Linked DNA regions of Macaca fascicularis. The protein of the gene in region 7 interacts with the protein of the main gene of each other region in a pairwise test. Links are inferred from orthologs where the notes say so. Each region holds a gene or a part of one and is shown on either strand. Other genes may lie near its edges.

Region 1 (3,034 bases), on a different chromosome or scaffold from region 7:
TCCCCTTGTGACTTACATGTCCAGGGTATTTGCCCATCTTCCTTCCCTGATACCCCCTTGGCACAGGAGGAAGACAGTGAACCCCTCCTGCCACAGGATGCCCAGACCTCTGGGTCACTGTTGCGCTACCTGCTACAGGCAATGGAGAGACCTGGCCGGAGCCAAGCCTTCCTGTTTCAGCCCCAGAGGTGAGTCTGAAAGGGACACAAGCATGGCAGGGGTTGGGGGTAGAAAGGGCAGGAGACAGAGGACGAGGAGAAGGAAGGGGGCTAGAGAAGAGAGACTGCAGGGACCTGAGGACAAATCTTTCCTAAGGTTTGGCAGAAATACCCGGGGATCCTGGAGCAATGAACGGCTGAGTCCCCGGGCTGGAGAGGGGCTGAATTCCGAGTTCTGGAGCCTGGCTGCCCCTCAACGCTTTGGGAAGAAGTGACATGTCATCCCTTGATATGTTTGCATGCAAGGCCCACACCCAAAAGTGTCAATATTTGCCCCCCAAATAAAGTTGTCTGGCTTCTGAATCCATGTGTGTCTGTGTGAGACTTTACAGGGCTGGGTGGAAGCCCAAGAGCAAGAACCACTGCCCTTCCCTCTCCACCAAACCCAGCCCTCCAACAAGGCAGCCGACAACATTCCAGGAGGCCACTGCACCCAGCCTCCTCCCACCAGAAAGGAAAACATGAGAATGGCTGGAACAGGAGCTCAGGGAAGGCACACAAAAGTCATGTGGTGACCTCCTCTGCTATCCACACTGCTCAGGAAACGAGAGAAAGGCTTAAAAATCTACAAAGCAGCATATTTATTCCAGGCTCTAGTAGACAGCCCCGATTTCATTCCCATTCATCATCACCAATAAAATGAGGACGAATCCTGGGCTGGCTGAGGCCCTGTGGTCCTTGGCTCCTTGCCCTGTGCCTTCTCAGCCTCAAGGCAGGCAGTCTGTGTCAGAGGTAGAGATGGTACCCACAGAGGGTACCAGAGCTGCGCAGATACATGAGCCCAGAGGCAGAAAGAGCAGGGAGCAAAGGGTGCACATCCATGAGTCCAGCTGGGGCTTCACTTGCTGCCTGCCATGATCTTGAGGTACTGCAGGGCACGGCGGGCAGCCTCACCACGGGCTGCCTCCCTGGTGGTTGCAGAGCCATGACACACAGTGGCCGGCTGGGTGGACAGTTCCACCAGGCACTGGCAGAGTCCACTCAGGCTCAGTTCCTCTGGAGAGCAAGAGAGAGGAAGGAGGCAATGTTGGGTGGGGAGGTAGCCCTGGGGAGGGGTGCGTTCACGTCATCATCACCCCCCTCTACTTGCTCCCGTCCAGCCCCCACCATCCCCTGGCTCACTCCTCAGCTAGCCATACCAATATCCAGGTAGCTGACATGGAAGGCCTGCTCCTCAGAGAGCTCACTGAGGACACGGCAGCAGGCAGGGCCCAGGGCACCCAGGGAGCCCAGGGAGCAACTGCGGAGGGACAGGATCTTCTCTCCCACTGAATTTCGTAGAGAATCCCAGGTGCAACCTGGGCCCCGGTTTCGAAGACCATCCAGGCGGGAGCCCACACCCTGTCAAGATGGGAACAGTGAGAAAGATGAAGCGAGAGACTGTGGGACCCAGGCATTGAAATATTCAACGTCAAAGGAGAAGAACAAAGAATGCTTCCTCCAGCTTGCCTCCCCCCACTCAATCCCTGGGTGGCCCCTTCTAACTACCAGGTCCTGGGCCAGATAGCCAAGCATCCCTCCTCATCCCAGTAACAGAGCTACAGAGCGGGCCTACAGTCAAGGCTGAGTCGGCCCCAGGAACCCTGGGTCTGGTAGGAAAAGTGTGGCAGAAGCAGGCCTAGGACCCAGAGAGGCTCACTGCTGAGTCACAGACCCAAGTCCCTGGAGCCCTGCCCTGGCATGGAGGATGGGCCACAGTGCCCAGCCCACATGAGCCACTCACAATGGAGAAGTGGTCATCATCAGGCTCCACCTCATTGCCATCCCGGGCATCCAGAGGCACCGTGTGTACTCGAAGCAGCATTTTGGCCGCCGCATTCCGCTTTGCCAATTTTTTGGAAGTGCCACTCCCTGCATGTGGAGAGAGGGCTGCTGGATTATGATTCCCCACAGACCCAGTGCTTTCACCCAGGTCATACTTGGATTAAGGGTCCCCCCAGAATGTCAACTGGAAAGGGGAACTCAGGACCTGCCCGTGCACCTGAGAACCTGGTCGGCCAGGAAGAAGGGGACAGATAGGGTGCCAAGAAGCTAAAAGGAAGGGGCTGAGCCAGGGACTGTAAAGCTAAGAGAGCAGGGGGTGTAGCAGAGTGAGGCTAGGAGCTGCTCTGGGGCTGGGGCCAGAGTGCTGCGGGAGAGGAGCTGTGAGAACCCCCTCCTGCCCGGTTACCAATCTCAATGAAACGCTCCACTCGGCAGGTCATGGTGAATTCTTTGCGGTGGGCTGGTCCGGACTCCTGGGTCACTGTGTACTCTGGCAACCGCCAGCCTTTCTGCACCACCAGCTCCTTGGAAGGGAGACACAGGGTGCATGAGGCTGAGTGAAAAAAGGCTTCTCACACCCACGCTGGTCCCCACGCAGGAGCCTCAGACTCTAGGTGAGAGGAAGGAGAGAGGGGGGTGGAAAGGGCCTCAGTACAGGGAACCGCCCCCACCCCCAAACACACATAACCTTCCCTCATGGCCCCTGACTCAAAGGAAGACAGGCATGCATGCGAAATGAGGATGGAGCACACCTGCAGAGCACCAACAGGATTGCACTCAGACTGCTGAGGGGAGACAGGGGGCTGCAGTTCCATGGGGGGGCTCCTGAAGGAAAAAGGGCACAGGGCCAAAGTTGAGGTGAAGGGTTCCATCTGAGCCTGCCCATGAGCTCCAAGCCTAACCACTACTTTAGATTCCTGACTACCATCTCCTGATTCCCACCGGGCAGGCAGCTGTCTGTTCACACATCGAGCCTGCTCCCTCCTGCTCTAGCCGGCTTCCTTCCCCCTCCCACTCAAGGGAGGCCTTCTCCAGGCCCCAGCCCATTTCCA
Region 2 (3,809 bases), on a different chromosome or scaffold from region 7:
TATGTAGCACATACATATAAAAACAACTGATATTTATATTAAACACTCACCACCTGTCAGGTGGTTTTCCAAGAACTTTACATGGATTAACTCCTCTGACCCTCATGAGAACTTAAGTTAGATGGTATTATCATCCCTATTTTAGAGATTTTAAAAAACTGAGGCACAGAGACACTATATAATTTGCTTCCAAGTTGTTACAGCTATGTCAGACTCGGGAACCAAGCACAAGCAATCCAGTCTGATCTCCTAAATTCCTTATCATGATATCATTGTGTTTATTCCTAAAAAACCCCCAAGTCTGGGCTACAAAAAATTACACATGGATTTGAAGATTCAGAATCCTACTAAGAGTCAATTAACACAGGTTTATTAGTATAAATTCCATCCAATACCACCAGTTATTTGAATGTTAAGCATCATAGTACAAGGCTGTATGTTCACTAGGCAAAAATTCCAAAATATCTTCCCCAAACTGAATACTGACCAGTTAGAATTATTCTTTTCTCACAAGAAAGGCTAATGAGGGCTGCAGTTGTCTTAATGGCACTGTTCTTCAAACGATGCCCCTCATCACAGATTAGAAGATCAAATTTTATATTCTTAATTTGATCCAGGGAACGAAGTAACATTTCATAACTGATAATAAGAACAGAATAAAATATAGACTTGATGAATTCTTCAACTTTGTGGTCCTGAGGAAAAAAGATAGTATTTTAAAAATCAGGAAGAGAAATGATATGAAATCAAATTTAAGCAGCCTATTCCTGACAGTCACTTATTAAGAACTGGAATATGTTAACTCTTTCTGTCTTAGTCAACTGAGGCTGCTATAAACAAAATACCATAGATTGGGTGGATTAAACAACAGACACTTATTTCTCACAGTTCTGGTGGAAAGTCTAAGATCAGGGTGCTAGCATGGTTGGGTTCTGGTGAGAGCCCTCTTCCTGGCTTGCAGAAGAATGCTTTCTTACTGTATCCTCACGTGGTAGAGAAAGGAAGTTCTGGTGTCTCTTGCTCTTGTTACAGAGGCACTAATCTCATCACATGGCTCTACCCTCACCACCTCATCTAAACCTAATTACCTCCCAAGCCCACCTCCTAATACTGTTATACTGAAAGTTAGAGTTTCAACATATGAATCTGGGGGACACAAACATTCAGTTCATAACAACTCAAAACCAAAATGTAAGCTAAGACTCCATTTTTGTGCAAAAGGGTTAGGGAGTTAACAAGTAAAAACTGAATTACTGATTTGAAAAACTAGATTTTTTTTTTAAATGACTAAGGCTAAATTTTCAAGTTTCTTACCTGATCAACAGTAAATATCTTGATCCTTTCACTTCCTAGCCACTTTTGAAATTCTTTCTTCCAATTATTCACCAAGCTTCCAGGTGTGACAATTAGTGTCTTCTTTATTACTGGCTTGCCTCCATAGGGTCCCTGACACTGCAGGGTCCAGATGAGCGAAATACATTGCAATGTTTTCCCTAAACCCATTTCATCAGCAAGAATAGCTCCACATCTGCCATTCATTCTGTTAGAAATAATTTTACTTCCTTTAATCACAATAGAAAAATATTTTATGCCCTTAAAATCATCAAGAACCAGAAACTGGTATTTTTTAATGACACTGAAGACTCTTTTAGTACTTTATTAGCTGATTTACAACACATCTTTTGCATCTTTGATAATTATATCCATTACATATTGTCAACTAAATTACCAAAACATAAATCTGAAATTAGAGAGTTGAATCTAAATCATCTGCTACTATTACATGTACATATTTAGAGGCTAGAAATGAATTCCAATTTTATATCTGCATATGGATAATTTAACTATAACTGTGTTTCTCATCGCTAAGAGTTGAGTGATTTTTATTGGTTTCAGATATCAAAACAGTTTAAAATATATTGTTGTATTATATTTAATCAGCAAGACCTACTGAGCTGTATTTTATGATTCTGTCAGTAAATGAAGTCCTCAACAAAAATAGCTCCCTGCATCATAAAAAAATTAAACACTAAACACTTGATATAATACACATAATTTAGTAAAAGTTGTTATCCTACAGACCTACTATGTTATATAATTTAAAATTAAATGTTATTAGGGATATTATTAGTAAGATCATGTATTTTTATGCCACTTTATATTCCTAAAGACCTTAGCAGTGTATGTTTTATATTTTTAAAGTTAAGAAAGTCCAAGGGAATTAAGGATATTACAAAAATGCATAAGTATACAGTTGACCACTGAACAAGAAGAGTTTGAACTGTGAAAGTCCACTTATATATGGGTTTTTTTCAATAAATGTTATAAGTGAGTGTGCCTACCTCTCTTGCCTCCCTTCTATCTCCTCCACCTCTTCCGCCACCTCTGCCACTCCTGAGACAACCAAACCAACCCTTCCTCTTCCTCCTCTTACTCAGTCTACTCAACATGATAAGGATGAAGACCTTTGTGATGATCCATTTCCTATTAATGAATAGTAAATACATTTTCTCTTCCTTATGGTTTCCATCATGCATTCTTTTTACTGGCTTACTTTACTGTAAAAATACAGTATATAATACATATAGTATATGAAATTATGTGTAAAATGAGTGTTTATGTTATCAGTAAGGCTTCCAGTCAACAGTAGTTTATTAGTTAAGTTTCTCCCAAAGTTATATGCAGATTTTTTACTACACAGTGGGTCAGCACCCCTAATTCCTGAGTTGTTCAAGAGTCAGCTATAGTTTGTTAGCTAATTGTATTTCTTCTTAGTAGAAATTAAGAACCAATATGTAATTTTGTATTTGTGTTCCATTTCAAGGTATAGAGAAAAATATTACCAACATAAATTACAGCTACTATTTAGGTAGCTGTTTTAGATCAATAATTTGGTAACAAAGGACCAAATGTCAGCCAAATGAGATACAGTGAATAGCAAAGAGAAAATACAGATTCATCTTTTCATGGTAAAGAGAAGGGAGCAAATAGGAAGCCTTTATGGAGAAGATGTATCTTGAGCAAAATTGTAAAGGGTAAATAATTGCTACACTAATGAGGCAGTTGAATATAGTTGGAGCTTGAACTGAAAAATATGAAGCTACCATGGTAGGTAGAAGACAAAAGATGAGTATACTTATCCTTGAGAGTTTAGACTGTATCTTATAGATCAGCATCTCCCAAACACTAGGATTTCATGACTACTATCATGATTTGTTGCCATATCTGTGATACTATATGTTATTATTTTTCTTCAAATCAACTCATTTTTAACTTAAATTTGAAAAGAAAACTCATTCTAAGCATAATTTATCTGTGAAACCAAAAGTTTAATATGCTATTTTTCTTTTTTTTTTTTTTTTTCTCGAGACAGAGTCTTGTTCTGTTACCCAGGCTGGAGTGCAGTGGCGTGATCTTGGCTCACTGCAAACTCCGCCCCCTGAATTCAAGTGATTCTCCTGTCTCAGCATACTGAGTAGCTGGGATATAGGTGTCCACCACCACGCCCAGCTAATTTTTGTATTTTTAGTAGAGAAGGGATTTCACCATGTTGGCCAGGCTAGTCTTGAACTCCTGACCTCAAGTGATCCACCTGCCTTGGCCTCTGAAAGTGCTGGGATTACAGGTGTGAGTCACCATGCCCAGCCTATTTTTCTAATAATTAACTAAATATGCTACTATTCAAATTTTTTTAAAAGGCTTGTCCACTTGCCACCCCAAAATAGTCCCATATACTGCCAGTGGAGTAGGGATCACAGTTTGGGAAACCCTGTTCTAACTTCTGAGAGTCTCTGAATGATTTTAAATAA
Region 3 (3,844 bases), on a different chromosome or scaffold from region 7:
GACAGAACAGAGGCCCCAGGGCACGCAGAAGGATGGAGGTGGCCAGTGCTTGGCGTGCGGCCAGGGAAAGGGGCAGCAGGGCCTGGTGGCAGCAGTGGTGTCATCAGGCCAAGCAGGACTTGCAAGGAGGAACTGGTGGGGGTAGGGGGTGTGAAGCCCCCCCAGTCCTTGCTGAGAGAGACCTGAGTCTGAGGCAGCTGCTGGATATGCTTGGCATCCCTAGCTGTCTCTCTGGGCTGGGTCCTATGCTGGACACCAGGGTGTGGCAGAGAACAGGACGAGCGAGCAGAGCTGAGAGGAGGGTGAGCTGTGGGCCAGTCAGGGGAAGAGGACCAGCGGCCCTGCTGGGGAGGGCCGAGGGTGGCGCTGGCCTGGGCGGGGTGGGCACCCTCAGCGGTGTCCCTGAGGCTAGTTGGGCAGTCATAGGGAGACCACTCCAGACGCCTCCTCCCTCCTTTCCCAAGGGGGAGCCTCAGGCTCTGGCTCTGCAGGTGTCTGGCAGCCCCACACTGTTGACACGGGCAAGCAGCAGGCTGGCACGGACCTTTACAAAGATAATCTTTATTGATAATCACAGGCCACAGGGGTGAGCCCTGAGGTTTGGGTTCTGGGGTGAAGGAGAACCCCTGTCCCCTGCCCTGGGCCTCTGCTGGCTGAGGAGGGACAAGCTGAGGGGGCCCCCATGGTGCACAGACAACCAGGGCCTCCCCAGCAGGGCAGGAGTGTGGGTGCCACAGAGACAGGCCCTTTGCAGAGCTGACCTGGAACCCACCATCCCCACAGCCCGTGTGAGCACAAAGCCCCTGGGTGGGCTGTGCCCTGGCTTGTCAATGATGCCAGTAGAGGCTGGCAGCCGCCCCTCTCGGCACCGGGGACAGTGAGGGAAGGCAGCTGCTGCTGTGAAGAACAAAGACGCTCTGAGGACAGACTTGTCGGGGCTGAGGTGAGGGGCGCACAGAGGCAGGCCCTGCCCGTGGTCTGGTCAGCTGTCCCTGCCACCGCTACTTTTCTGGTCTGAGGCTGTAGCCTTGGTCAGGTTCCCAGCTTCCCTCTTGAGGACGCTGAGCAAAGTCTGGGAGCTCTCCAGAATCTGGGGCCAGAGAAGTGAGGAAGTTGTTACTGTTCACCTGCTGGGAAGTTCCTAAGCCCCAGCTGTCCTCACACTCAGGTTCTGGGACCTGGCTGTGGGTGCTGTAGCCAAGGGATCCTGTGCGGGGGAAGGCGGAAGCCCAAGGGGACTGGCAGACGGGGTAACAGGGCCCTCTTCCCTCCTGAATCTGACCCAGAACACTTCCTCCCCACCCTCAAAGCCAGGCTGGGTTAGCACTGGCCCAAGACGTGGCTCTTCACACTCTAAGCAGAAAGAACCACATGGCTAGCGAGAACCGGATGAAGACCAGGACCCAGGATGCCCCAGGTCCCCCAGACAGCCCCACGGTCACTCCCGCAGCAGCCTGGGTTCCTCAATGGGCCTGGCCACGCTGCTCCTGCCCGACATGTCAGCGAGGCACAGACTGCCCACAGCTGGGAGCCCCAGACGGTCCTGACGCCCTGCCGCGGCTACACCCCTGCCGCGGCTATCCCCTGATGCTCCGCCTGGCCTCCCGAGCTCCACCTTGAGGTAGGCGGCCTCCGTCTCCGCGATGGTCCGGTCGAACTCGTTGCGAGAGGCAATCTTGCGTGCCAGGTTCTCGTTGACGCGGGCCAGCTTCTCCGTCAGCTGCCTCACCTCATTCTGCAGCCGCTGCTTCTCGTCCTCCTCCTCCTGGATCTGCCGGCACAGCTCTTCCCGCTTCTGGCACAGCTCCTCTATGCCTGGGGGGCCAGGAGGGGCGGGGCTGTGGGCCCAGGGCAGGAGCGCGGCGGCGGAGGGCGGGCCTCCTTCCACCCGAGGAAGCCAGAGTCAGGCACCACCCCCGAGCACCCGGCGCGGGGCCTGCGAGCCAACGAGGGCTCGGGGCCACGGACACCCAGCCCCCGGCACGGAGGGCTCTGCTCAGCTGCGCGATGCCCGCAACTAGGCGGGTCCAGGGGCACCCCGCTGCGAGCCGGGAACCCGGCCCTGCGGCCCTCCCGACCTCCCCGTCCCGGCTGCGCCGCTCACACTTGACCAGCTCGTTGTTGTAGTTCTGCAGCGCCGCGCCCTGCTGGGTCATGGTCTACGCCGCCCGGGGCCCCGCCACCCCAACCGACGCGGAACCAGCGCTGTCCGCGCCTGCGCACGACTCCCTGACGGCGCGCCGAACTACGCGTCATCGCTGAGCGCCTTGTGCGCGTCATGGCTGCGCGTGCAGACTTGCGTCATCGCTTTGCGCCGTGCCGAGGGGATCTCGGAGCCGGTGGCTGCAGATGGCGGCGGCAGTTGTGGTGGCGGAGGGGGACAGCGACTCCCGGCCCGGACAGGAGTTGTTAGTGGCCTGGAATACCGTGAGCACCGGCCTGGTGCCGCCAGCTGCGCTGGGGCTGGTGAGGCCTGGGAAGAGAGCGGCGGCCCCGCGCGGAGTTTCCGGGACCCTATGCACTTTGGGGCGGCCACCTTCGGGTTCATACAGCTCTGTCCGTCATCCGCCTCTGCCCTGTCCTGCCGCTTTCCACCGCCATTCCACTTCATTTCGTTCAGCTCCGCTGGCAGCCCTTCCCTAGTTTCGGCCCAACGTCCGGACACCACGGACAGGGGGCAGCGGAGTTTTTGCAGCCTACCCCTCAGCTTCTTCCCTTCCCCGCCTCTCCCCACCTCTATGTTGTGTTCCCCTCGCTTCACGGTTTTCTGCGCTCCAGGTGTCTTCCCGGACCAGCGGTGCAGTCCCGCCAAAGGAAGAGGAGCTCCGGGCGGCGGTGGAGGTTCTGAGGGGCCACGGCCTGCACTCGGTCCTGGAGGAGTGGTTCGTAGAGGTGCTGCAGAACGATCTGCAGGCCAACATCTCCCCTGAGTTCTGGAATGCCATCTCCCAATGCGAGAACTCTACGGATGAGCCCCAGTGCCTTCTGCTGCTCCTTGACGCTTTTGGCCTGCTGGAGAGCCGCCTGGATCCCTACCTGCGTAGCCTAGAGCTGCTGGAGAAATGGACTCGCCTGGGCTTGCTGATGGGCACTGGTGCTCAGGGGCTGCGAGAAAAAGTCCACACTATGTTGCGCGGAGTCTTGTTCTTTAGTACCCCCAGAACCTTCCAAGAGATGATCCAGCGTCTGTATGGGTGCTTCTTGAGAGTCTATATGCAGAGTAAGAGGAAGGGGGAAGGGGGCACAGACCCGGAACTGGAGGGGGAGCTGGACAGCCGGTATGCCCGTCGCCGGTACTACCGGCTCCTGCAGAGCCCGCTGTGCGCAGGGTGCAGCAGTGACAAGCAACAGTGCTGGTGTCGCCAGGCTCTGGAGCAGTTCCATCAGCTCAGCCAGGTCTTGTGAGTAGTCTGTCCTGATGGCCGTGCTCTCGCTCCTACTGGTTGCTCCCCTGGGTCCAGCTGGCCTCTGCAGAAAGCTGGTGAGCCGTCCTGATAACCAGGAACATGACAGAGAGAGAGTCCCTGGGGTTCCTGTGCAGTGTGTCCTGGACACAGGTGTCTCTCTTCTGTCACTCACCTGCAGTCCCACGGATTCATGCCTTGCCCATGGTAAGGCCCTATGTGGCTTTTGTCTGCAGCAGCAAATTTCTTAGCGACTCCAAACTTTCTGAACTCTGCAGAATTCCACTGTGACTTTTGTCGACCCTGAGGCAAGGAATGATTCTCACCCTCGTCGACATTCCTTGCCCTGTAATTGTGAACAGAAGCCTGCTGCTGCTTCTCTCCAGGGAGATCAGGTCACTGTGAGGGCAAGTGGTCTCCTGTCTGGTTCTCTGGAGAGG
Region 4 (4,292 bases), on a different chromosome or scaffold from region 7:
CAGCTGTGCCAGAGGGTACAAGCAAGAATGGTGCTCAAAAGGGGTGGCTCTGAGGGCAACAGAGGGAAGCTCAGGCTGCAGGCAGGTGCCAATGTACGCAATCCCAGGAGGCTCCCCGGTTCCCCAAGAGGTACCAGATGGAGAGAGATGTCAGGAAAGCGGGCTCAGCCACACACTGCGGCTCTGCCTAAGGGATGTCCACAGAAAGAGAACTTAAGGTGAGGAGGTTATGACCTCCAAGCTACAGACAGGGAAACAGAGACACAGGGAAGCTACAGTCCTGCCGCAGGTTCTAGTGATGAACAATCCCTTCCAAATCTGCAGCGCAGGAATGAAATGAGAAATTACCTCCTCCCTGATACTCCTTCTGGAGAGGCGGGGGAAGTGCCCCTGGTTCTCGTGTTCCTCTGTTCCACGTGGGAATCCAGAGGCTAAGAGGCAGAGGCAGGAGATGAGACAAAAAGACTGAGCCAGAGACAAGGAGAGGCCAAGAGGGAATGAAAGATAGTGAGAATCTAAGTGTCAGACAGTGAGTCAGAGGTGGGGGGAGGGGCCCTCAGCAGCTACCCAGGAATCAGGATTCTGACCATGGCAGTGTTCCCAGGGTGAGCACAGCCCCCTCCCTAGGGTCCTGGAGGAAGGAAAAGCAGTTCCCAGGAGCTGGCTTGGACAGAAATACCTCACCGCCGAGGAACCCCAGAGACAGGCCCTGAATCAGAGAGCCAGGCTTCTTCTGGGATCTGAGCCCTGACAATTGGGCAGCCCTCCTGCCACCACACACAGGCACTGACAACCCCCCACTCAACTGGCCACGGTTATCCACACACTCAGGTCACACTATGCGAATCCAGGAAAGGCCACCTCACCCCTGGGCACCAAGCAACCAAGGGCTGTTTTCGAGAAGTGGGGGCGGGGCTTGAAAAAGTTGCAGCAACTCCTCTGTCCACCTCGGCAGTCCCACCAGTGCCCCAGGCCTCAGCCCAAGCCAGTCTTAGGGAGGGGGCACCTTTAGCTGCCTCCATCCCCCTTCAGGAATCTGAAGAATGTGTCCTTTAACCTCTGAGCCCCAGGCCTTGGCCAGTCCCCCCAAAACACTTGGGGTCACATGACCCCTGTCCCTCAGGAACAACTTCCTGGGAGAAGGGGAGGGCACCTCCCAGCACCTCTAGTCCCCACTGAAAAACCAGCCTGGGTGGCCCAGAGAGGACAGACCGAAAGCCTTGGCACTTCCTCCCCAAGCATCCCTCTGAAGGAGAGCTGGGGGAGGGGATGGCTCCTCAGCTTTGGCCTTCAGGACCTGGCACTGGATAGGTGCCAAATGTATGCTGGCTACATGAGGCACTTGTTCTTGCAGAAGGGACATTGCACCTGACAATGACTGCTTCCTCCACCTAAGACGGGCCTTCTTCCCTCTCTCATTCATTCATTCATTCAACAAATAGGCACCAAGCTCAACAAATACGTGCCAAGCACTGTGGCAGGCACTCACGCATGCAGGGAGCAAGACTTACACAACTGCGGCCCTCTTGAAGCTCTGAGTTGAGCAGGGAGGACAAATAGAGTGGGTTGCTGGGATGGAGGGTCTGAAGGGTGGGACAGGGTACGGCTGGGGTGAAGGTAGGTCTCTCTGAGGAAGGAAAGTAGGCAGAGTTCCAGATAGGGACTCCGTATGGGTAAGGAACAGGAGGAGGGACCAGGAGAGTGTGATCGGAGGAGGGGCAGCCCGCGAGGCTGATCCTGGGCTCCAGGGCAGGCTTTAGCTTGAGGGCACGGCAAGCCACAGAGGGCTTAACTAGGGAGTGACAATGCCAGATTTGCATTTTAAAAACGTGGCTCAGCACCGGGAGTGGAGGGGGTGTGACCGGTTGGAGGTGCTGCCAGGGCCAGGTGAGAGGACAGGCCAAGGGCATAGGAGAAAGGCAGATACTGGGATGTGGTGAAAGAAGAGGGCAGGGCTGTCAAGGATTTGGGTCGGGGGAGGTGATGAGTTACTCTCCAAAAGGATTGAGACTTCTGGGTGGAGGTGCTGGGTGGGCAGCAGGACACGGGGAGGGACTCTCTGGTGTCAGGAGTGTGGGCTACGGCTGTGTGTGATTGTGCCAGGAGCGGGAGTGACTAAGTGTGTGACTATGGCTGTGGTGTGGGCATCTCCACAGTGCGTGCCTGTGAATGGGCCCCGGGGAGGAGAAACTGAGGAAGGGGAGGAAGTACGTGCTGCGGAAGGAGGAGAAGTGCGTGGGAGACAGTCTACGTGTGCCTGCGGGTGGCCGGTGTAGCTGCGCCCGTGACTCACAGCAGTGGCCTCTGAGAGTGACGGCGACTGACAAACAGGTGAGCCTACGACACAATCCCTCCCTCCCTCCCTCCCTCCCGGGGTCCGTGACTCACCGCGCCTCCCTGTTCGCTCATCCCTCCACTCCCTCCCTGACCCCCGCCGGCCGGGGGCGCCCGGCACACGCCGCAGCTCCCGCAGCCTCCCCGAGGGGGGAGCCCGAGGAGGAAGGCGACAAATGTCACCTGCTCCGGCCACGCGAGGAACTTCTGAAAAGTTCTCAGGCAACTGGGTCAAAAGGAAACTCGCCCGCGGACGCACGCCCCCGTCGCCTTGCCGCTCGCGCGCAAGCCCTGCTCTGTCCCCACTCGCGCAGAGCTCGGGGAGCCGTGACTTCTCTCGGGGTTACCGCGGCAGGCGGGGGAGGGGAGCAGAAAACCTGCGACTCCCGCTGGCCGGACCCCCGGCCCCCGACTCCGGCCGCGGCACGCCGTCAAAGCCGGGCAGCTCCCGCCCCCGCGCCCGCTCAGGGTGCCGAGGAGAGAACCGCAGGAGGCAGGAGCGGCAGTGCCACTCGCGCTGAACGCCCCCTCCCCAAAGTCCCGTCCTGCCGGGCCCAAGGCCCTTCGGCGCTCACCTGCAATCCGGACGCTCGCGGAGGAAAACGACGCGACCCGCGTCCCGGCGGGGGACGCCCCCAGCGCCGCGACTCTGTGCGCTCGGCCCGGCAGCCGTCGGTCCAGCCGCCCCTAGCTCTGCGCGTCCGGCAGCGGCGGCGGCGGCGGGAGACTGGCTGCGCCCAGCCCCGCCCGCCGCTCCGCCCTCCTCGTCAGTGGAAAACTCCGGGGCTCACTGCGCTGACGCACGCCGGGCCTCCAGCCAGGCCGCCCGGCAGCCCCGCCCCGGAGGCGCCGCCTCCTCCCCCGCCTGGAGCCTGGCGCAGCGGCCTGGGGGCCTCCCTGCGGACTCTGACCCGGCGACGGCGCCTCCGCCGCTCTCCGCCCCCAGCCCTCTCCCGCCAGAGCCCTCCCCGCCCCGCTTCCAGCACCGTCCCTAAAGGCGCGGACGACTCAAGCTGGCAGAGCCGGGAGTAGAGATCCCCCCTCGCCCCACCGCCCCAGCTTACAGATGGGTAGACTGAGGCCGGGAGCAAGGCCAGGGGCTAGACAGTGGCACAGCCGACGTCTCCCGTACGCTCTCCACCCCCACCCCTCTAGAGGGAGTTTATTATATTCCAATCTAAACGTTCCCTCCTCCGCCCCCAGCCTACCACCCACCCCCAGATCCGTCGGAAAAGTAAACTGTGGCTGGAGAGGAATCTGGGGTGTGTGGGGAGCAGGGAGGCGGGGAGCGGGAAGGATGGATGTAATCAGTGGGCCTGAACTTCACCCCTGCCCACGGGCGAAGAGACCCTTCCCTGCAGAAGTCCCAAACTAGGGGTTCTTGGAACTAGCTTCCCCACTCCCACCTCAACCTTCCCTTAAAAAAATAAAAAGTCTGGTTTCTTCCGGGCCAGATCTTGGCCACTTAAAATGGCCCACTGCCTTCTCTGCTCCCGCCAAGGCCTTTCCTGACTCAGGGCCAACCCTCCCGGTACGACTTGCCCCGGCAACCAAGTCCTGGCCTGGGAGCCCACCCTCAGCCCCACTTCCCAACCGCAGGTACGGGTCTACCCATCACCTCGAGCGTTTCCACCCTCACGCTTTTGCTGCAGCCGGTCTTCTCGACTGGAATGCTCTCCTGCCCTCTCTCTGCTTACCAGAATCCCAACGCTTTTAAGGGCTCAGCTTGCACTGCCTCCTCCAGGGAGCCTTCGTGGGAGCCTGACCCTCCCCCTCCCAGTCCTGCTCCCGCTGCATTCTGGGTTCTTCTGACTGTCCTAGATGAATGCTGTCAGCCACTAGCCCAGCCCTCAGGATTCCATTCTACCTTCCTCCAGGTTGGGGGTGGGGGTGACCTCCTGGCCTGTTTGAATGGTATCTGGGGTGGAGACGATGGTGAGAGCCCCTCTTCAGCCTCA
Region 5 (4,260 bases), on a different chromosome or scaffold from region 7:
AACCAGTTGAAAATTCTGGATGTACTGTGGCAATTTCCAGAACAAACAGGTCTCATTTGGTTGGGAATGCAAATCTTCATTTAGAAGTGCTCCAGCTTCATAAAGCAACTGGGAAGAACAATTACTGGAAAAGGCTGGTTTCCTCAGTTTGAGGGCTGGCCTCAAGGGCTACAGCAAAAGCTAACAGTTATTAAATATTATGTGCCAGACTTTACGCTGAACTTTGCACATGCTTTGTGTAATCTTCTGAAAACTGAAAGGATAGGGAATTCATGTTATTACCATATTTCTACTGTTACAGATAAGGAAACAGGCTCAAAAGAGTTAAGTAACTTCAGCCGGGCACAGTGGCTGTGCACAGAGGCCGAGGCGGGCAGATCACCTGAGGTCGGGAGTTCAAGACCAGCCTGACCCACATGGAGAAACCCCGTTTCTTCCAAAAATACAAAATTAGCTGAGCGTGGTGGCGCATGCGTGTAATCCCAGCTACTCGGGAAGCTGAGGCAGGAGAATTGCTTGAATCCGGGAGGCGGAGGTTGCGGTGAGCAGAGATGGCGCCATTGCACTCCAGCCCGGGCAACAACAGCAAAACTCCATCTCAGAAAAATTTAAAAAGTTAAGTAACTTGTAAAAGGTTGTATGACTGGTAAGATTAGAACCCGGCTAGTCTGAATGTAGAACTCAGGCCCTCACCGAAATTTCTGCTTCCATGGTGGTATCTGGCTGGGGAGGCGGATGGGGAAGCCAGTTTAAAAATCCTTATTTTTTTTTCTTTTCTTTTTTTTTTTTTTTTTTTTTTTTTGAGACAAAGTCTCACTCTTGTCTCCCAGGCTGGAGTGTAATGGCGCGATCTCAACTCACTGCAACCTCAGCCTCCCAGGTTCAAGCGATTCTCCTGCCTCAACTGGGATTACAGGCGCCTGCCACCACACCCGGCAAATTTTGTATTTTTAGTAGCAATGGGGTTTCACCATATTGGCCAGGCTAGTCTCAAAACTCCTGACCTAAGGCGATCCGCCTGCCTCGGCCTCCCAAAGTGCTTGGATTACAGGTGTGAGCCGCCGCGCCCGGCCTAAAAAGTCTTAATCTTTTTATTTTTATCATCTGATTTTTATTTTATAATAAAGTTAACCAATACAGAAAAAAAAAAAAAAACCACTAAAAGTGCCTGCTATCATGGATGAGCTTAGGTGAGTGTTTTACGAAGTAATCTGAAGACGAATGATGATAATGATAGAGGTTCAACTGTGAAGACTCAAAGCCTTAGTACTCCGAAGACACAAATGATAGTATACAGGTTCAACCACAAAGACTCTAAGCTATAGTATTCTTATTTTAAAAATGGAAAAACAGCCCTATCTTAAAGCACTGGTGTGAAGAGTAAACAAAATAATATATGCATACAAAAGCACTCTGTAGTCTGCAAATCACTCACTATATTCTATGAGGTATCACTCTCATTAAATACAGAAAGTATAGGTTTGGTAAATCAGACAGAACACTGTCAACACAATTGCAAAAGACAGCCTGTAACCAACGGAAACTAGGTATAATGTGTAAAAAATTACTTCCCAAGCATATTTTTATCAGCCTTTAAAGCTAGTGTTGGAGGAAATTAACTCAGAATTTAACACCCATTTCCAGGGACTTTATGTCAGGAGCCAAATGCAGACTGCGGCAAATAGAAACATCGCTTCTTCCCTCCCCCTAGCCATGCATGCAGGCAGTAAGTAGTAGCAAATGCCAGCTCAAACACCACCCTCGAGGAGGCCATCCTTAATCTCTCCAGTCAAATTGATCAAGCCATCCCCAATACATAATCTCCCAGCACATTTGCTATTTCATTGGCATTTCATTCTGACTGCTATCAAGAATTATCAGTTGCTTCCAATGCTGACTTACTTCTACTTTTTGAACCCAGTAAATTCACACAGAACTTGAATCACCCCAGGCAGATCGTACTGGCCGGCACTCAAATGCTTGCTCTAGAAGTTTGTATTTCTCAAATCTAAGTCTACGGCTGTAGTTTCAGTCTGCGCTGGGGGGTAAACACACACCCAGACACACTACAGACGTAAAAATAATTCAGGGTGGAAAAAAATTGGTGGTTGTATCTTTCCCCTTCTTGATCTATTCGGTAAAGAAATGCTCTTTAAAACACCAAAAGTGAGGCGCAAATGGAAATGAAAGAGCAGAGGAATGCATTAGAATATTCAAAGCTCCGTTTCTAAGTCAGAACCACTTTCCCTACCTTGTTTCACAAACACAGTAGGCACCTCTTGCATCACAAAGAGAGAGTATTCTATCTCCTGACTGACCCATTCTTGGAGTTAAAGGCCACACCTCTTATTCTAATACCCTCCACAGGCACTTACTATTTACTTTTCAAATTAGGAATTCAGAGCAAAGGTCATCCTCAAGGCCAGGATAAGAAAAGGCAAAAGGTCTTGGAAATGGAAAAGACTCAATACACAGCACCATAGGCCCCAGAAGATGAACACTAGTTACACGGAGGAATAAAGAGCCCGAGGTGAGGCTCCCAGGAAATGTGTTTTAATAGGCTTCACTACACGCCACGCGAGCTTGCACAGGGAAGTTAAATATCGCTGCGACGTGTTTCTGATGGGGCCTCCTGCGAGGCCGGCGTCTTGCCGGTGTGAGGCCGCGGGCGGTGGCAGGGCCGTCTCGCCGCCCTCCTGGCAGACCACGGGCCGCTGTCACCCTCTACCGAAAGGCGCCCAGATGAAACCATTAATCACGGTGCACTGCCCCAGTCTCCCAGGACGCGGCTCCCATCAAGAACGCGGGTGAGCGTTTTCTCCTATCTCGGCGCCTCACGCCCCTTCCCCGCCCCCGCACGAGACCGCCCTCGGCCCGGCAAGCGACTTCATATCCAACCCCGTTTTGTAGCTGTGCCCACAATCACCCATTACCTTCCCCAAGCAAATGTGGCACGTGATGGGCAGAGTGAGCGACAATGTAACATTCTGCACGGTCTGAGCCATGGCAGCTTTCAGAATCCCGCCAACACGGAAGTCCCGCCGACCTACCGCGACTCCTCGCCAAGACTGGGCACGCGCGGACCGGCTACGGCGGCCCGATAGGGCCATAACCCGCCTGGGAGAGAAAACGCACTTTGGAAACGCGCGATCTCCAAGGCATTTTCCTTTCATTAAAAAAAAAATAAATAAATAAATATATAAAATAAAATAAAACAAAATCACTGGTTAGGGAGCTGCAAGATACCTACGAATGTGTAGGAAGGTAGTTTACTACAAGTCTCGAGGATCTTGGAAACTCTAAAGGAATGCGTAATAGTGGAGAGAAGAGAGGAAGATACGGAAAGGCGATTTTTAAAATCCTCAAATTGTTATCGGGGATTGGATGGGGTGAAGGAGAGTTTTTCCCTAATTATTAAACCCCACACAGTCCGTCAACACAGCGCAATCAAAACATGAAGAGAAAAGACGTTATCTACACGTTTCAATTTTTTTTCAAAACAGCTTTCCACCTCTGTCAGTTCTCTTTCCACTCAAATAATATAATGTGCTTCCAGACGGTACAATAATTCACTTAAGAAAACAGTGATTGTCTCCTTATCTGTGTCTGAGACGATCCGGATACATTTAATCGCAGCTTTCCCTGAAAATACGCTTTCCCTTGGGCTGTTCTTGGTTTTCCACCAAAAGGAGATTTAACGTTTTAACGTCTTGACTTCAGGTGCATGGTTGGATACGAAATGTACCGCTCTGCTGTTGAACCCCAAGGGAGAATTATTTGTGAGGTTATAAATTAGCTTTTCCTACCAACAAAAAAAAAGAAAAAACCTAAAAGTTCCTAAATTCATCTTAAATGAAGTATAGCAGATTTGGAATTTATCTGCAACTTACTTTAAGCGAGGAAGAGCTGATGTGATAAATTATACTAACAAATAAAATCTGTGAGTTGAGCGATTTAAAAACAAGACCACTGAGACAACTTTTACTAATCTTTCTGAAAAAGAGGCAGTATGACTTCAAGAAGCAGCCTCATGGTTAAAAGAAACGGTTCTGGACCTGGGCTGCTCCAGCGAAAATCCCTGCCCCCAACAACTTCCTACCTACATGGTAGCTCCATGGCTTCAGGCAACTTTTGTTTTGTTTTGTTTTTTGAGACAGAGTCTAACTCTGTCACCCAGACTGCAGTGTAGCGGTTCCAACACAGCGATCTTCCAGGCTCAAGCGATCCTGTCCGCCTGCCACAGCCAGCCTCCTGAGTAGC
Region 6 (4,522 bases), on a different chromosome or scaffold from region 7:
TGCCCTTAATAAAAATAAAAAATTTAAAAAATTAAAAAATAAACCAAAAAAATGTTAAGATGACAGCAAGAGGGGAAGGAAAAAAAAGGACTTGCCATTTAAATTCACATAGTATCATACAAAGCTTAAGAGTAAAATAAATGGTTTAATGACAAAGTCTTCATAAGAAAAAAGGACAGAGTTTACTTAGGCTAAAAATGTTTATACATGCCAGAAAAATGAGAAGACAACAGAATTTTTAAAATATTTTAATTTGTATATATAACTTCAAATTTAGAACACTCAGTATGAACAAGAACTATTCTCTGACAAAGATCTGAAATGGGGAAGTGAATTACTGTACAGGTGCATATCAACCTCTCCATGCAATTTACATCTGTATCTTATGCAATGAGAAACTGGTTTACACAGCTCCGTAATTGCAGTATTTTTTTAACACCCCATTTTGCAGTCTCAGAATACTTTTCAATTAAACTGATCGACATGTTTAAAGATGAGAAATATGATGTTTGCATTGTAAAGTTGAGTAATAGCTAATAAATGCACATTTCCTTCCATCAATATAAATCTGGAACTATTTATGGTAAAGAAAAATCTATCTGCGCTATCAGTAATCTAATAGTTCATACTTTTACTGAACACTTCCTGTGAGCCAGGCCCCGTAGTAAACATCTGCACATGCAATTTCACATTCAGTGTGGAATAGGAAGTGTCAGAGGTTCGTGTGTTTTTCACAACTGATTATGATGTCCATGATGACAGCGTGCACTAAGCGCTGTGTCCAACCAACCCTTTACCTGGCACTTTAGCCAGCAAGACCCACTTGCATTGTAGCAGCTCACGGTGCTCGCTTGCACAATTTTAGAATGTTACATGAATACTCAGGCCTGACTAACCTTCCCCTCCAAAAAAACAACAAAACGGAACAGGGCTAAGCCTTTACTACTCAGAGACACATCTGTAAGACCCCCACAGGGACAAGAAAACTAGCTGTGATCTAGGTCTGCACTAAAGCTGTCTTTTCTGGCACTCAGAAGTGCCCTTCCAGGCCTAACTGCAGAAGGGTGGCCTCAGCCTCCTCCTCCTCCTCCTTGGCTTCCTCCTCACGGATCTGCACCAGCAACTGAAAGAGGTTTGGGGCCGGCCCTTCCCCAGCCCCGGTAAGCCACAGCTGCCTTCGGATGGCCCCGCTGTGGTTGGCCCCAGCAATGACCTGCTCTAGGCGGGCCTGGTTCACGTTATCTTTATCAATGGCCCCCTTCTCTACCACCTTCTGTAGCAGAGGCTCCAGACGAATGACATAAGCAGACAATTTTTCTCCCGGGTTCTGATAAGTGTTCAGAAATTTGATCTGGGCATCCCTAGAGCTCTCAACGCTCCCAAACACCTGCTCAAGCGCCTTCAGGCATTCGGCAGTGGTTATCGCGGGGTTGTTGGACTTGAGGATGCGAATGACATCAGCGGCAGGGCCTCTAAGGCTCTCCATCAACCGCCGCCTCTTTTCTACATCGGACACCTGCCACTCCTCTAGGACCTCATTAGTGTGCTCCAGCCAGGGATCAAAGGTTTCCTCTCCAGGCCCTGGGATGTCCCTCCCCGAGAAAAGTGTCAGCCTCTTGTACCATATGGACTCAACAAGAGGCTGAATAACATTATCCAAAATATAGTTTAGCATCTCTGCTGGCATCTCTGGGCCCGGGGTCGGAGTAGGGTTCTGAAACCCAAGGACACGCGCAACATCTTGCACGGTCCACCCCTCTCTAGCTAGGAAGAGGTGCAATCTTTCTAAAAATTCAGCATCAGAAGTTGGGGGCTTAAACAACACTTTCCAGACCCCTCCTTTGCCCGGCATCTCCCTGGGGATCGCGGCGTAATCGACAGCGCCAGTGAGCTCTAATAAGGCTGCTTTCGCATTTTCTTCCCTCCAGAACATTCTCCCAAGCATTCGGTAGGGGACCTGGGGCATCGCTGCCTGGAGGGTCTCTTCGATTTCAGCCTCATCACAGTTCACTGGGATGCCCCAGACCAACAGAGCTCTCTGGGAGTTCACATCCATCCCCCGGCACCAGTCTTCCAACAGTGTCATCGCCATTTTCTCAACTATCAAGACGCCAATTCTACCAACAGACTGTGGCTCACCGTACTCCTGGCCTTAGAACAATACCAGACACTCCCACCAAATAGGCCCAAGGGAGGTAGGCTTCATGCATTCACGACTAACAAAGACACAGAGTCCTGATCTCGCCCTTCTCTGCCCCCCCAGTCAGTCCGTAGGTACACTTGGAGCTGAGCTCGGGGACGCTGAGGAAGTCACGCGGCCGTCGCCATCTTGCGTCTGGGTCCGGGTCCGGTCGGGTCTGCCGCTTGCAGCCGGGCTGTCGCGTCGTCGTGCAGCGGGCAAGGAGCGAGGGCGGGCGGCGAAGGCAGGCGCGCTGGGTCGAAAGCAGCCGGGGTGTGGTCGCGGGGCGTGCCCGCCGGGCGCTCGCTGCGGCTCCTGGAGAGGATCGGGCGTTCGCGGTCGCAGCCCGGTCTTCCCGCGGGCGAGGAGCGGCCGTTTGGGAGACTAGCCAGAGGGAGAGACTGTGCCGAAGTCGCGGCGGCTGCGGGCCAGCGGAGAGCGGCTTCTTGGAGGGCGTGGGGACTCCTCTTGGCGGGCGCGGGGACTCCTCTGGGCGGGCGGCGAGGACGGCCGAGGACCAGAAACGAAGGCAGCAGAGGAGCAGGAAAGCCGGAGAAGCGAGGCTGGAAACAGCACAGGCAAGGGTGGGCAGCGGCGGCCGCGGCGGCCTGCAGCGGCTCAGGCGCTGCGCGGCTGCCCCAGCGTCGAGTCCTACCCGCAACCCGCTGCGACGTTACTGCTGCAGTGGAGGATGGGGCCAGCCCGCGAGCGGCGTCAGCCCCGCCCCGTCCCGCCCCCGCGGCGGAGCCGCTCGGGCGTCGCCATGGCAACGGCGCCCCAGCTGGCGCGAATCACGCCTGCTCCGGCGGCCCGCGGGGGTCGAGCGGTTGCCATGGTGCCAGCGAGGGGCTTGGGCATTTGTTTCTCTGATGGCGCATTTCCTTTTTCATAATTTTCCATTTTAACAGCAAACAAATACTGCTAAGCACCGTGTTTTAAAAATAATAACCCAATCCTGGAGTGCATTTAAGATGATACTATTGGAAGTCATGGCATCCCTCATGGTGGACTTGTCTACTCGGGTTGCCCAGCCAGTCCACCCTGCACGTGAAAATACTCTCCTCAGAACCCTGGCTTCCCGTTACCCCTGACCACACTGTGCACCCTGCATATTTTATCCCAATGAAGCCGGAGTGCGCCATTTTTTGTGTGAGATACTGAGTTTAGACTTTTTCTTGTCTAAACTTTTGTAAACATCTGTTTGTCTGTGTCTACTGAGTCATCTTTTAGCCAGGCAAACATTAGTGTTATTTTCCTTTTCCTGGCTGGCATCGACAATAGGCTGCTAAAAGAGAATCCTTATGGCTCAAAAATGTCGAGTAATCTCCCTGCAAGCAAGACAAGGCCCACTTACATCAACCCCAGATGGTGAAAATCCCGAGAGAACATAGCATTCAACTCTGAATTTTTAAAACCTTATTTAATAAAAGGTTTAAAGATACAGAAGAACATTCAAAAGTAAATAAGTTACATAGGTACATTACAATCACATCAGCAAGATTCTTTAGTGTATTAATTTTTTCTTATAAAAAGCACACAAAAAATAAAATCTTCAGTCTCTATCACAACTGTACAGCAAAAGAGGTAATATTTATATGTATGTACACTATTTTAATATGTAACAGTCTTTTTCAAAAAGGGTGCCACAGGCAGCAAACACACAAAAGGCAGTGTCTGATCATTTTTGTTTCAAAATAAAAGGAATATACTTATTTATATGCTATTAAAATATTTGTACAATAATTACAGACTGTCAAGGCTGTTCCTGTGCTCTGTCCCCTCCAACAAGGCCTTCAACTTAGAGACAAATGAGGAAAAAGTGAAACAGCTGCAAATTGTTAGAGGCAAATATTAACATAGCAAAATGTGGGGAGGACACAATTGTTTTATAAAAATATCCCTACTTCCTGTAAACCTATGGAGTTAGGCTTGCCAGTCTGATAATAAATACCGTCCCAGAAAAGCGAGCCCCAGTGAAAACAACTAAACAGCTGAGGCTTGAGCATGTGTTGTATTCCTCCTTCATCTTAACATCTGGCACATGAGAAGAAAGAGGTTAGGTCACTGAGGCAGTTAAATATAGGCGATCCCTTTAGACATAAGCAGCAAAAGACCTTGGTGCCAGGAGTGGAAGGGGGCGCGGCAGAAGGGGTGGTATGTACCTTAGCTGTGAGGGGGGCTGCTGAAGGCATGGAGGACAGTAATGATGGCTCTGCCTCCTTGGATGGGTGGAGACCTCAGAAATGGTCTGCAGCACAGGCACTAGGTCAGTTTCCCGCCCTTAGCTGAATGCAGATGGATGCTGGGAGATGGATATGGTGAGATGGTGTGGGGAGGATGTTA
Region 7 (4,266 bases):
TTTTAAAAGCACAGAAGGGTTGTACAAATAAAAGGTATCAATCACTCAGGTTATCTGTTAAGAGAACACTCATTTACAGTTAAAAGCACACCCACTTGCTGTGGTACCACTGCTCCCCACATTCGTTACAAATTACATAAGTCATCATTTGTTCATCTGGGTTTGAATTCCGCACCCAGCTGGGAAGGAAAAGTGTTCCTCTGTCAATTACAGTGACTTTGCAATTGTATTTCTCACAGCGTCTGCATTTTATTTTATTTGTCTGTGTGCCATCAATTACTTGGGGAAGGTAATGTTCCTGGATACAAGATTCTGTGTAGGAGGCTCTCAACTGCTTCAGTTCCTTGTTTGCCATCTCCATGACAGTCATTTCAGCAAATTCTCGTGGAGACATGGTACCAGAGAGCAAGTTTTGTTGTAAGTGAGAATTTTTGGGGTTCTTCAAATTGGCAACTTTGCTTCTGATGCAAGTTTTATATTTTTTGATATTCTTTGAATAAAGGGTAAAAACATGCTCTTCAATTTCTCTTGCAAAGTTTTGCCACAAATCAGCTTTGGGTTGATCTGCAGAAGAACTAGTTAAAGCTGCGTAAAGAAGCTCTATGCATTTAGTTCTCATGGGTGTTATGGGATCCAGCAACTCACTCAATCTCTTACCAGTGGATTCAGGGCCACCATCCCCAAAATGCTCTTTCTTAGGTTTCAATTGAATGGCTCTATTTTCAGGCACAATCATTTCACTGAGTTTTGCAACATCTTGGGAAGATAGAGAATTTGAGCTGCAGATGCCCAGTGTCTCATCCTGACTTGGGTCATGAGAAGGTCCTGAATTTTCTTCATTACCCCTCACAGGAAATAATTTAGGGCTGTTCCTCGCTTTGGAGTGAGTCTCTTTATAAACAGCTTTCCACTTTGATAGCAAGCACTTGGCTTTGTTTTTCAAAGCCACAGAGGGGCAGTTTTTGAGGACTCTGTATACAGCTCTCACCACATCTGTCTCCTGGAGATGTTCCTTAGTCACATAAATTGTTTCTAGCTCAGTAAGGTGGTTGCCAAGATCCTCAAAATTCCTTTTGGACAACAGTTGCTCAATAAGGGAGGCTCTGGCAGCTATCTGGTTCTTGTCAGACATCTTTACAGCTGCAAAGAAAAAAGAGGTTTCAGTTTTCTTAAGTTTGCCTTTGCTAGTCGCAGCTTCTGGATACGAAAATAGCAGTTTCTGTCAGTAACCTAGGCATTGTTTTCTGAAGGAGTCATGTAATACAAATGTATGTGACATACTAGAAAACGGAGTCTTTAAGGTGGTATGGTTTACTCTCAAGAGTTTAATTCCTACTAGTGAAAAATAAACAAACAGTATTGCAGAGCCTCTACATAACATCTGCTTAAGAGGCTCGCCAGGGGATCTGCTATAGCTTTTCCATCTCCAATTTTACAAATCAATGATCTTTCTAGAGTAGTCAATCCATTTGGGTGGAATCCGGTGGTCATGCTGGAGATGAAATCATGCCAGTGTCAGCATCAATATGGCAATGCTGAACAGTGCTAGACAATTTTTCCCCAGAGTCAGCTATATAATTGAACTACTTGCTCATTTCATAATCTTTAAAGTGGTACTCTTCTGAATATAAAAGAGTAAGAAACAAGACAGAAAGGGTTTGCTAATGTCTCAAGCAATCTAAAGAAACCATGAGACAGCACAGGTTGAAAAGCAGCTAGAGCTACGTCTGCGGGTCCCAAAAGCCAACAGGCTACACTGTGCTGCCTCAGAAGTCTCCTGAACAAGGGAAAGGTTCAGACTCAATGATCCAGATGATTTATGACTTTAGACTAACTGGTTCCTACATTTTGGTTTTGTTAATTTTTTAAAAACTTTTAAGCGTAAAAAGTTGCTCAATGATTATGTCTGTGTGAATCTCATCCTAGGCAGGCAAGCGTTTACTTTATCTAAGCAGTCTACCTTTTCCTCTCCACATAATGTACATAATCTTGTCTATATAATACCCTTGGATCTATATTTATCTGTCTGGTCTAGATGTGAACATAAGCATCTTGATGGCAGGGACTGTGTCTTTTCAAAAATCCATGGGCTCTGTTTTATAGCACTTGATGTTAAATAATCACCACTGAACATACACAGGCTAAGAACACTGAAGTGTTTAGAGAGAGAATTCATGCAATCTTCCCAGACACCATCTGACAAGTGACATAAAACATAATGACCTTTTAGTAATTCTACTTCCGTAAATTTACTTTAAGGAAATGAGAGATGTGGAGACTGCATATGTAAGAATTTTTTTCTAAGGAGAAATTGGAAGGACCTCAAATGGTTAAATGGAGAATGGTTAAAAATATGGCACACTCCTTAGATACAATAATATAACCATTTAAAAATCATGTATTTAGTTATTTAATGACATGGAAAAATGGTCATAAAGTTAGGTGAAAAACAATCAAGATGTAAAACTATATAAAAGATTAAACAGTTATCATATGGGCTGGGCGTGGTGGCTCACGCCTGTAATCCCAGCACTTTGGGAGGCTAAGGCGGGCAGATCACGAGGTCAGGAGATTGAGAACATCCTGGCTAACATGGTGAAACCCTGTCTCTACTAAAAATACAAAAAATTAGCTGGGAGTGGTGGCAGGCACCTGTAGTCCCAGCTACTTGGGAGGTTGAAGCAGGAGAATGGCATGAACCTGGGAGGCGGAGTTTGCAGTGAGCCAAGATCATGCCACTGTACTCCAGCCTGGGCGACACAGCAAGACTCCGTCTAAAAAAATAAAATAAATAAATAAACCAGTTATCATGACCCAGCAGATCCAAGAGAAATGGAAACATATGTCCACGCAAAAACTTGTACACAAATGTTCATAACAGCATTATTCACAATAGCCAAAAATGGGAAATAATCGAAATGTCCATCAACTGATGAATGGATAAATAAAATGTGATTTATCCACACAACAGAATATTATTCTGCCATGAAAAGGAATGAAGTATTGATACAGGTTACAACATGGATGAACTTTGAAAACATTATGCTAAGCGGAAGAAGCCAGACAGAAAACACCACATATTGCATGATTTTATTTACATGAAATGTCCAAAACAGGCAAATCTATAGAGACAGAAAATAGATTAGTTGTTGACTAGGTAGGGTGGGGCAGAAGGGCAGCAGGGTGAAGAAGGAGGAGCAGCTGATAAAGTTCAGGGATTTTCTTGGGGAGTGGTGGCACAAATAAATCTTCTAAAAGTTGATTTATTTGTGGTTATGGGTTATACAACTGAGTATACTAAAAAACGCTGAATTACACACTTTAGGTGAATTGTATGATGTGTGAACTACATCTGAATAAAGGTGTTATTTAAAAATAGAATCTGATCCAAATTTTATTTAAGAATTACATGTGAAAAGACTGAAAAGAGTTACACAAAATTTTAAAGAGGGGCATTTTCTGAATGGCAAGATTTTAGGTAATTTTCATTTGTTCTTTTCCTCTTCTGTATTTTCTGTGATGAGCGTGTATTGTTTTCATAATCAGAAAAGTTATTAGTCTAATGTAATTTCATGATAAACTATATACATTTAAGATATACCTACTGAAAAATGGTATGAGCAATGAATCAATCACCTTCTACCTACTTTCCCTCTGGAATGAGAATGTACTTAACACTACTGAACTGTATACTTAAAAGGGCTTAAGACAGGCTGGCCGTGGTGGCTCACACCTGCAATCCCGGCACTTTGGGAGGCCAAGGCGAGTGGATCATGAGGTCAAGAGATCGAGTCCATCCTGGCCAACACAGTGAAATCTCATCTCTACTAAAAATACAAAAAGTTAGCTGGGCGTGGTGGGGCACGCCTGTAGTCCCAGCTACTTGGAAGGCTGCGGCAGGAGAATTGCTTGAACTCGGGAGGCGGAGGTTGCAGTAAGCTGAGATTGTGCACTGCACTCCAACCTGGTGACAGAGCAAGACTCTGTCAAAAAAAAAAAAGCTGGGGGGGGGAGCTTAAGACAGTTAATTTTATGTTTTGTATATTTTATCACAATTAAAAATTTTTAAAGAAATATAAAGGTCAATAAAAGAACATATAAAATGAAGAGCAAAGTGCTTTGGTTGTTTATACATAAATACATTAACTTCTATAGATTTACTCATTTTGCCGGTAAGACAAATTACTGCTTTCACTCCACTGAAACCCCAAAGCTATAATTACAATTCCCTTTAAGAATCACCTTGAAACTCAGTCAGACCTTCAG

The links.
Region 1: the proteins of TCEANC (region 7) and TARBP2 interact in binary tests that used the Homo sapiens proteins (3 or more experiments, as listed by UniProt). The two-hybrid records come from large-scale screens. The link is inferred for Macaca fascicularis from reciprocal best matches to the Homo sapiens genes TCEANC and TARBP2.
Region 2: the proteins of TCEANC (region 7) and RAD54B interact in a two-hybrid assay, tested with the Homo sapiens proteins (2 studies listed by BioGRID). The two-hybrid records come from large-scale screens. The link is inferred for Macaca fascicularis from reciprocal best matches to the Homo sapiens genes TCEANC and RAD54B.
Region 3: the proteins of TCEANC (region 7) and SSNA1 interact in binary tests that used the Homo sapiens proteins (3 or more experiments, as listed by UniProt). The two-hybrid records come from large-scale screens. The link is inferred for Macaca fascicularis from reciprocal best matches to the Homo sapiens genes TCEANC and SSNA1.
Region 4: the proteins of TCEANC (region 7) and CSRNP1 interact in binary tests that used the Homo sapiens proteins (3 or more experiments, as listed by UniProt). The two-hybrid records come from large-scale screens. The link is inferred for Macaca fascicularis from reciprocal best matches to the Homo sapiens genes TCEANC and CSRNP1.
Region 5: the proteins of TCEANC (region 7) and OBI1 interact in binary tests that used the Homo sapiens proteins (3 or more experiments, as listed by UniProt). The two-hybrid records come from large-scale screens. The link is inferred for Macaca fascicularis from reciprocal best matches to the Homo sapiens genes TCEANC and OBI1.
Region 6: the proteins of TCEANC (region 7) and PNMA1 interact in binary tests that used the Homo sapiens proteins (3 or more experiments, as listed by UniProt). The two-hybrid records come from large-scale screens. The link is inferred for Macaca fascicularis from reciprocal best matches to the Homo sapiens genes TCEANC and PNMA1.

What each region holds. Positions count from the first base shown.
Region 1 is NC_088385.1:60,315,718-60,318,751, reverse strand, and holds the end of TARBP2 (RISC-loading complex subunit TARBP2), read right to left. Parts: intron 2,808-3,034; coding exon 2,735-2,807; intron 2,593-2,734; exon of another isoform or gene 2,507-2,592; coding exon 2,389-2,506; intron 2,070-2,388; coding exon 1,942-2,069; intron 1,560-1,941; coding exon 1,358-1,559; intron 1,215-1,357; coding exon 1,057-1,214; 3' UTR 776-1,056; downstream 1-775. Other genes in the region: NPFF (pro-FMRFamide-related neuropeptide FF), read left to right, coding at 1-188, 316-433. UniProt on the Homo sapiens protein: Required for formation of the RNA induced silencing complex (RISC). Component of the RISC loading complex (RLC), also known as the micro-RNA (miRNA) loading complex (miRLC), which is composed of DICER1, AGO2 and TARBP2.
Region 2 is NC_088382.1:104,050,382-104,054,190, forward strand, and holds part of RAD54B (DNA repair and recombination protein RAD54B), read right to left. Parts: intron 1,541-3,809; coding exon 1,315-1,540; intron 696-1,314; coding exon 488-695; intron 1-487. UniProt on the Homo sapiens protein: Involved in DNA repair and mitotic recombination. May play an active role in recombination processes in concert with other members of the RAD52 epistasis group.
Region 3 is NC_088389.1:2,127,351-2,131,194, forward strand, and holds SSNA1 (microtubule nucleation factor SSNA1), read right to left. Parts: upstream 2,230-3,844; 5' UTR 2,157-2,229; coding exon 2,105-2,156; intron 1,816-2,104; coding exon 1,616-1,815; intron 1,091-1,615; coding exon 983-1,090; 3' UTR 542-982; downstream 1-541. Other genes in the region: ANAPC2 (anaphase-promoting complex subunit 2), read left to right, coding at 2,350-2,466, 2,779-3,401. UniProt on the Homo sapiens protein: Microtubule-binding protein which stabilizes dynamic microtubules by slowing growth and shrinkage at both plus and minus ends and serves as a sensor of microtubule damage, protecting microtubules from the microtubule-severing enzyme SPAST.
Region 4 is NC_088376.1:101,224,866-101,229,157, forward strand, and holds the start of CSRNP1 (cysteine/serine-rich nuclear protein 1), read right to left. Parts: upstream 3,064-4,292; 5' UTR 2,410-3,063; coding exon 2,389-2,409; intron 1-2,388. UniProt on the Homo sapiens protein: Binds to the consensus sequence 5'-AGAGTG-3' and has transcriptional activator activity. May have a tumor-suppressor function. May play a role in apoptosis.
Region 5 is NC_088391.1:69,690,856-69,695,115, forward strand, and holds the start of OBI1 (ORC ubiquitin ligase 1), read right to left. Parts: upstream 3,071-4,260; 5' UTR 3,006-3,070; coding exon 2,934-3,005; intron 1-2,933. UniProt on the Homo sapiens protein: E3 ubiquitin ligase essential for DNA replication origin activation during S phase.
Region 6 is NC_088381.1:141,640,124-141,644,645, forward strand, and holds PNMA1 (paraneoplastic antigen Ma1), read right to left. Parts: upstream 2,858-4,522; 5' UTR 2,093-2,857; coding exon 1,031-2,092; 3' UTR 233-1,030; downstream 1-232.
Region 7 is NC_088395.1:13,442,941-13,447,206, reverse strand, and holds the start of TCEANC (transcription elongation factor A N-terminal and central domain-containing protein), read right to left. Parts: upstream 2,923-4,266; 5' UTR 2,843-2,922; coding exon 2,653-2,842; intron 1,141-2,652; coding exon 80-1,140; 3' UTR 1-79.